Linked DNA regions of Kluyveromyces lactis. The protein of the gene in region 1 purifies or fractionates together with the protein of each later gene. This does not show direct contact. Links are inferred from orthologs where the notes say so. Each region holds a gene or a part of one and is shown on either strand. Other genes may lie near its edges.

Region 1 (3,371 bases):
TCAAATTTATAGTGGTCAACAAAGTATGGAAGCGCAAACCAGGCACTTTAGGATGGACTTGGATAAGTTCCAAAAGCCAGAGAACTTAACAGTACTTTTCGGTGACTTTTGCTGCTATAAACCAGAGAAAAAATACAAAAATATAATAGTATGTTCTGCATTCTTTATTGACACAGCAGCAAACATGTTTGATTACTTCAATGCTATTGAGATGCTTTCTAACAATTGTACAGGACGTTTACACTGGGTTAATGTTGGACCGTTGAAATACGGAACTAGACCACTAGTACAATTCACATACGATGAGCTAGCAAGACTACGTAAATTACGTGGATGGGAAGATCATTCCAACCAGGTTGATGTTAAAAATTTGAATGGTTACCTAACAGACTACGAATCCTTATTCCAAGGGTTTTATGGTCTAGCCAAATTCCATTCGGAACTAAAAAGATAATTAACATTAGAACCCTGCAAATACTATGTTGTTTCTCAACATTTTTTGTGGTACATTTCTTTTATATTTAAGTGAACTAGTGAGCATAATTCCTGTATATAATATATAAAATTACGATTAGTTACTAAATATATTATCACCTTTATTAATTTGAATTTTTTTGTCTTGACCACCGCTGATGATACCTACGCCTTTAGCCCATTTGACAGCAAACACTTTATCATTGACACCTTTAACAACATTTTTATCTTCTCTGGTGATAGTGTACATTGCAGTGTTAGACCTAACATCCCAAACCTTGACAGTTCCATCGTGAGATGCAGAGCATATCATATATTCATTTTCTGGACAAGTATCCAAAGCGACAACGAAGTTCTTGTGACCTACAAGCTGCTGTTGGGTGATTTTAGATGAAGAATTTACACGAGGATCATGAAGAGTAATGTGTCTGGCACTCGACCCGCATGCTAAGAGATTTAATTTTGGTAGTTGCGCAACAGAAAGAAGTGAGTACGATGTCGTCTTTGTATCGACACATTTTGCCGTTATCAGATCCCATGTTTTTATAGTATGATCTTGTGACACGGAATACCCAACAGTATCATCCGATTTATCGAAAATGACAGCCTCTACTGGAGCACTGTGAGATTCAAAAAGAGCCAAAGGGGCTCTTCTTCTGATAGATCCATCTTTTAGAGTCAACTTTCTCCTCTTCTTGGCTGCAGTAGACACGTTGCCTCCTAAATCCTCCATCGGATCAATGACAGTCATCTCTTTATAATTCGTGGACCACAAGCTCACCGTATTATCGCATGATGCAGATAGAATACGGTCTTTCGAAACATCAATGGACACTACAGGGGCTTTATGACCTTCCAAGATGGCCAATGTCTTACCATCCTCAATTTCTTCTTCATCAATTGATTTCAAATCATCATTCTTCGTTTTCCACAGACGTAGAGTGCGATCATTCCCTGCGGACACCAATCTCGTACTAGAAATGTAATGCACAGCACGAATAGGGCCAGAATGACCACTGTATTGTTTTTCGACTTTCCCTGACAAGTTGTACGTTCTTACGATACCGTCATAGGAACCACTGTAGATGTAATTGCTTCCGACATCCAATGAGCTTACCCAATCTTCGTTATCAAAACTAGACAAATATGAAGGTGGTAGCACTGCTCTAGTATATTCAACATTCAAAAAGGTTTCCGATGATAAACCTTTCTTGATCAAATAGTCCTGCAACGATGTTCTCAAAAGTTCACCATCGATAAGGAAATCAAATGGCATAGATTTAGGTAATTCCAGTAGGTGATTAACAATTTCAGAAAGACCATATCTCTTTAGACTAACTGGAGCATAGATTGGAGCATCATTGACATGTAAAGTCTCATCTTCTTCACGAGTAAAGAAGCGTAGCTTCACCTGAGTCTTATCTGTTGACATATTCCCCTACAGTTTACTTCTCCTTATAACTAAGATATTCTTCCAGTGAATTCTAGTTTGAATTGTCTAATAGATTGTGATCGCACGTTGTTACTGAGGTACGATGGAGCGCGTTAACTCTATTCTTCCTATCTTGTACATTTTCTAAGCGTTGTAAGATGCGATGAGCTTGGAAAATTTTTGGGAAACAAACCACTGCTCGAAAAAGAAATCCGCCAGAAATAAATGCCAGTCACGTGTATATGTTTTAAGGAACCGGGTAGTGGAAATTAGTCAGTACACCAATAGCTAAGTGACAGACTAATGACCGTGTAATACTAAACATTTTCACGAGTAATATATGGTATATACAAGTATAAGTAAATTCAGGAGTGACAAGAGATAGAGAATGTCCCGCTCACGCAGCTACCAATTAAAGCCAATTGATGAAAAATAGTTAAGTACTTTAATCAGTATGAGGTACGCTCGCGGATAGAATTTTCATCTAGCCGTTCTTTTCCCCTCTGTTCATCTACGGTGTATCAGATGGCACAGTGAATAGAAGGCATTAATATGTTTCGTATCACTTTTTTAAGCCAAATAATCAAAAGAACAGTCGACTCGAATTTGATTAACTTAGAGTACTTGCTTTAACCTTGTCTTTTTCTCAAGGTGAAAAGCTTCTCAATTTATACTGGATGTCTGTTCTTTTTTTTTTTCAGGCAGAGAAAATTAGTTGTCCGGGTAAATTATCATATTACCTTTAGACATGTTAAGAATATGATTAGGGCAAAGACAAATATGTTATTGCTAAATTGGAAATCGAAGTGGTTGGAATCATCATCGTTTCACTAGTACAGTTTCTCCGAGAATAAGAGAATTATAATAACCTATTGCTAGATCAATAATTACTGTCTTTTTTCTTATCAGAATTCCAGCAGCTTTGTAACGCCGTACGTATCATTCTGACGCTGCAGAATGAAAAAAAAAAATGCAAGCTCGAGAGAATAATGCATTTATATCTAAAGAGTCATCTCATCTCGAAAGTAATTAAGCAAGAACAAAGTCGTGTTTGTCTCGTAGAAGCTCAGCTCATCCAAAAGACTTCGATACACTTGAGTACAGCTTATCATGGCATCCAGTGTCCCAGGTCCAATTGCCCTACCAGAATCTCGTTATGATCTAAGCACCTATTGGGGACGTGTTCGTCACTGCGCAGAGATTTCTGATCCAACGATGTTGTTAACGAGCAGTGATGATCTTCAACAAGCTCGCAAAATCATCAGTGCATATCGCCATGGAGAGTTGAAAGAAACGACGCCTGAGTTCTGGCATGCAAAGAAACAGCTAGATTCTACTGTTCATCCTGATACTGGTGAAACTGTGTTTCTCCCATTCCGTATGTCCTGTTGTGTGCCCTCAAATCTGATAGTTACTGCTGGTATGTTAACTCCTAATATGGGTACCGCTGGTACCCTGTTCTGGC
Region 2 (4,328 bases), about 600 kb from region 1:
AGGTTACATTGCACAGTAGATATATCAAGCCAACGAACGATGGATCTGCTTTTTTTGAAGCAGCATTTACTCCCCAAGTATTTTATGCCTGTGATACTTCCATTGAACTTACGAAACGGTCACCCTTCTATACTGGAAAAATCGGATATGAACACTTTTTCACTGACAACACCAAATTTTACTATCTAAATTCTACTAAAATGACAATTAACCTTCCGAAACTAGACTCATCTGATAACTTATGTATTCAGCTGTTTACCTTGGGATTGGTGCTCTTTTCTGTTTTGTATTTGATCAGAAAACTTTTTTGAAGTAGGTTGATCTTATTCAATATTCTATCTACGACTAAATATAATGTACAATTCCATTTCACGGATTAAGTGATATGATTAGCATTCCTTATTTTTTGTGATGCTTTTTAGCGATACGTTTCAAAGCCCTTTGTTCGTTCTTTAAAACACCGTCAACCATCTTATATTTACCCTTAACACCCTTAGGCCTGCCGGAAAGACCTCTATTCTTACCACTTGCAACCACAACTGTGACCTTCGGTTTTTGCTTTGCTTTCTTGGTAACCTTTCTCATCAATTTTGCAATTTCTTCAGCCTTGTCCTTTTCAGATTTATCGCTGTCATCATTAATTAGACCAGCCTTCTTCTTCAACTTTTCTAAACGAGCAACAGCACGGTGCTTCTTCCTGGCTTTAGCTTCAGCAACTTTTTTGATGGGTCTGGCATTTAGAGCCTTCAGTTTATCCTTTATTGCCATGGCTGCTTCTTTGGTGATAGGCTTATTAATTTTGGAATGTTGTTTTTCTTCTTCAACGAACCATTCGGGCAGGTTTTCCATATCACGGAAAGAATATCTATTGAAACCCTCTTCGATTAAATCATGTTTCGTTTTGTGACCTAATGCCAATTGATGAGCTAGAGTCATAGCTTCAACGGTCGCAATATCAATGTCTTTGGAATGTTTCTCTTGTTTTGTCCTCTTTGCCTCTTCTTCGGAATCATACTCAGAGTCTACATCGCCATCTTCGTTGTTTGCGACGATTTCGAAATCACTATCTTCGTCGGAAGATTCGGCTTCAGAAATCTGCTCTGCAGGAAGTGGATTCAATTTTCTTTTCTTTGTTAGTTGTTTGACATCACCCACAGACTCTGAATCCGCAAGATCCGCCTTACCAGGTAAATCTGGTTCAACTCCCTCGAATAAAGAATCGGAAAATAGCGCGCGAGCTTTAGAACTTAACTTGCTGCTGTTTTCTCTACTTTTCAATTTTGCTATCAACTGATTGATAGCTTCATCATCGTCAGAGTCTGAAAGATCCGAGTTGTCATCGTCGTCAACATAATCCTTAGTTTCTTCTTCGTTCTCTTCATCACTTTGTTTGTCCTCGAATCCATTCCAGTTGTCCGCTTCACTGGATTCACGGGCTTGCTTAGCTCTAAACTTTGCATCTCTTTCTGACTTGCGTTCCTTATAGTTACTGTACATGGCATCAAGTTGGGATTCTAGTTCATCAGCCTCAGCGAGCTCATCACGATCATCCAGAGGCGCATTTTCATCAATGTGGATATCGTTATCTATGGCTAATTCATTTTGATCAAATATCATTCTTCTCTTACCCTTGGCAAGTTTATCAAGGATACCCGTTTTTTCTGCAGTTTTCAAATTGAAAATTGATTCTCTACCTAACTCTGCAGCTTCGATACCAATGTCTACTGGATTGATCATATTTAATTGCATACGAACAATTTCCTTCTGTTTCATTTCGTTCTTCTTTCTCTTCTCACGCTTAACAGACAACCTTTGTTTCTCCTGTAGAGTATTTAGTTCTTTTTCAATCTGCTCTTCTTCTGTCAAAGGTGTTTCCTCAATCTCTGGTTTTTCTTCCTCTTCATCCAAGCCTAAAAGTTCTCTAGCTGCTTTTCTCCATTTTAGGATCATCTTGAAATCTTTTCTACCAAGAACCTTTAAATCTTCGATACATGCCAAGAATTCTTTGGTGGTTTGCTTTAATTTCTTCACAATTTTCCAGTCATGATCTTCTTCGTCTACGATGAATTTATTATATTCTCCAAGCATAGTTATTGGGTCTTCTGATTTCATAAAGTCCATAAGACCAGTTTCATGGTATAACAAATAATCACCTTCCTCGTAACCACCTCTTTTTCTGACCTTTTTTTCTGGATTAAAAACCTTGGCTTCCATGTTTTGTGGACCATCTGGTAATTCTTCAAAGACTTCCTTTGGGTCTAATAGCCTTGGATCCAACTTCTTAGGGGCCTTGAAATTTTTGCAGACAACGAAAATTTCCGCAGAAACATTTCTGGAAGCAGGAGGTTTGGTTGCCTCCACCTTTTCGAAGAGCTGTTGAAATACCCAAATTAGCTTGTTGTAATCTTTGGATCTGAAGATCTTCGTTACAAATGTACCACCAACTACTAAATTTTCAACGGCTAATTTTAAGGCTTGCAGTGTTAAATGAGACTGTGTGAAGGCATCTTGAGCCCAACTCAAACCAACATTTGGAGCACCATCGTGTAAAACGGTGTCGGCTTTCCACGTCTTCATGTACCCTCTTAATTTCGATCTACAATCTTCCGTTGTGATATCACTTTGGAAAGTAATAACGTTTGGCATAGTTTTCATCGGAACAATATCGACACCAATAATCAAGGAGTTAACAGGACACAAGTTGGAAGCCACTTGACACCAGGAACCTGGTGCAGCACATAAATCGATAACGACCTTCGACTTCTCCAAAAAATGTCCATACTTTTCATTGATTTGAATGATTTTGAAGGAAGAACGAGCTCTGTAGCCCTTTTCCTTAGCAAGGTAATAGTACTTATCTAAACGACCTTTGGAATTCTTCTTTTGCGTCTTCTTACCCATCTTGGTCTTCTCGGTAATGTATGGTGACCTATTCACTCAAGTCTAAAAGAGAACAGGATATCAGAAAGCAAATAAACAACAGTTGTAACCTGTTCAACGTTCAACTAATCTCTTCTCATCTCATCTCATCTCATCTCATCGCTAGACCAATTTCTCAAATAAAAAATTGTCACTCTTCTCACAAATAATGAAAAATTATCTGAAAAAGAAATAATTTTGGATGCGGTGTTCGGGTTAAGAATGCTCGCGGTACCAGGTATGGAAACACCGGACACTGTACTGGAGGAACTGCCAGCTTTGATGCTATGCACGGTTTCCACTGTTAAAATAACGAGCAGTAAAAAATCTGTTTGGACGTGTTATCATGGATATTGATATTACTGTAACAACACAAGACTTATATAGAGGGCCCTTAGCGTTCCACAGTTTTAAATAAGGAATATGATTTCGGTTTTTTTTCAACCATTAGCACTGCCAACGTTTACAAATAATTATGCAACGCTCTCAGGCTATAAGGGTACCGATGCTTATAATATTTCTGCAAGATTATAGGTATGGGTAGTTACTACTATTGCTACTGCTGATCATACCATAGGCTAAATAAATTTATGACCGCCTCTCGAAATAGAGATGCATTCTATGGCCCTCTCGGTCCATTGGCAGTAACTGCAATCTTATATCCAATTATCACACAACATAATGGTTCCCGCTTATACGTAGGTGTATATATAGCCTAATTCATCCGGGTTCAGTATCACTATATTTGGCCAGAATATCTGCGTATTGTACATTCCAGCCAGTAGAACGATACACGTTACAGACAGAGAAAAAAGGAAGAAGAAAAGCATTCCAAAATAAAACTGCAAAAATCAAAAATCCTTTCAAGTACTTACTTACTTGATTAATTTATGGTTGTATGAGATACTTGTACATAAAGTATTGTTTAATTCAATTGCGCAAGATATCAATCTAGTATCCACTGCGTTGAATACACGGGAAGATGAGTAAGTATTCATTTGAAACGATTCAGTTTAAGGAGACTCCTCCGGCGGAAACTCCTGAACCAGTGAATTCCAAATATGGCGTGAAAACGACAGCATCACCAGCTATTAAGAACGCTCCATTGCCTGCAGAGGGACCTTCTTCCAGACACTTTTCCAATTGGTTATTATTCTCCTTGCTCGGTGGTATTCCTTACTATGTAACAAGGAAAGTTGGGGGAGGTCTCAAAACCTTCTTGTTCTTTGCCGTACTGTTTGCTATCCCAATTTTAATGGCCTTTTGGACAATTGCATCCACTTACTCTCCTCGTTTGAATGAGAAATGCAAATTACCAGGAAAACCAATTGAGTACTATTTGACCTTCCATGATGATGCTTTGAAGGAAAAATACCACGGTAAGAAAATTCCTATGGAGACTTTCCACG

The links.
Region 2: the proteins of YTM1 (region 1) and SPB1 purify together in Saccharomyces cerevisiae (affinity purification with mass spectrometry, with the first as the bait; 3 studies listed by BioGRID). This does not show direct contact. The link is inferred for Kluyveromyces lactis from reciprocal best matches to the Saccharomyces cerevisiae genes YTM1 and SPB1.

What each region holds. Positions count from the first base shown.
Region 1 is NC_006039.1:647,102-650,472, forward strand, and holds YTM1 (Ytm1p), read right to left. Parts: upstream 1,907-3,371; coding exon 572-1,906; downstream 1-571. Other genes in the region: KLLA0_C07403g (uncharacterized protein), read left to right, coding at 1-454; FSF1 (Fsf1p), read left to right, coding at 3,017-3,371. UniProt on the Saccharomyces cerevisiae protein: Component of the NOP7 complex, which is required for maturation of the 25S and 5.8S ribosomal RNAs and formation of the 60S ribosome.
Region 2 is NC_006039.1:51,761-56,088, reverse strand, and holds SPB1 (27S pre-rRNA (guanosine2922-2'-O)-methyltransferase), read right to left. Parts: upstream 2,902-4,328; coding exon 400-2,901; downstream 1-399. Other genes in the region: PBN1 (Pbn1p), read left to right, coding at 1-311; KLLA0_C00715g (uncharacterized protein), read left to right, coding at 3,902-4,328. UniProt on the Saccharomyces cerevisiae protein: Required for proper assembly of pre-ribosomal particles during the biogenesis of the 60S ribosomal subunit. Specifically methylates the guanosine in position 2922 of the 25S rRNA at the stage of 27S pre-rRNA maturation.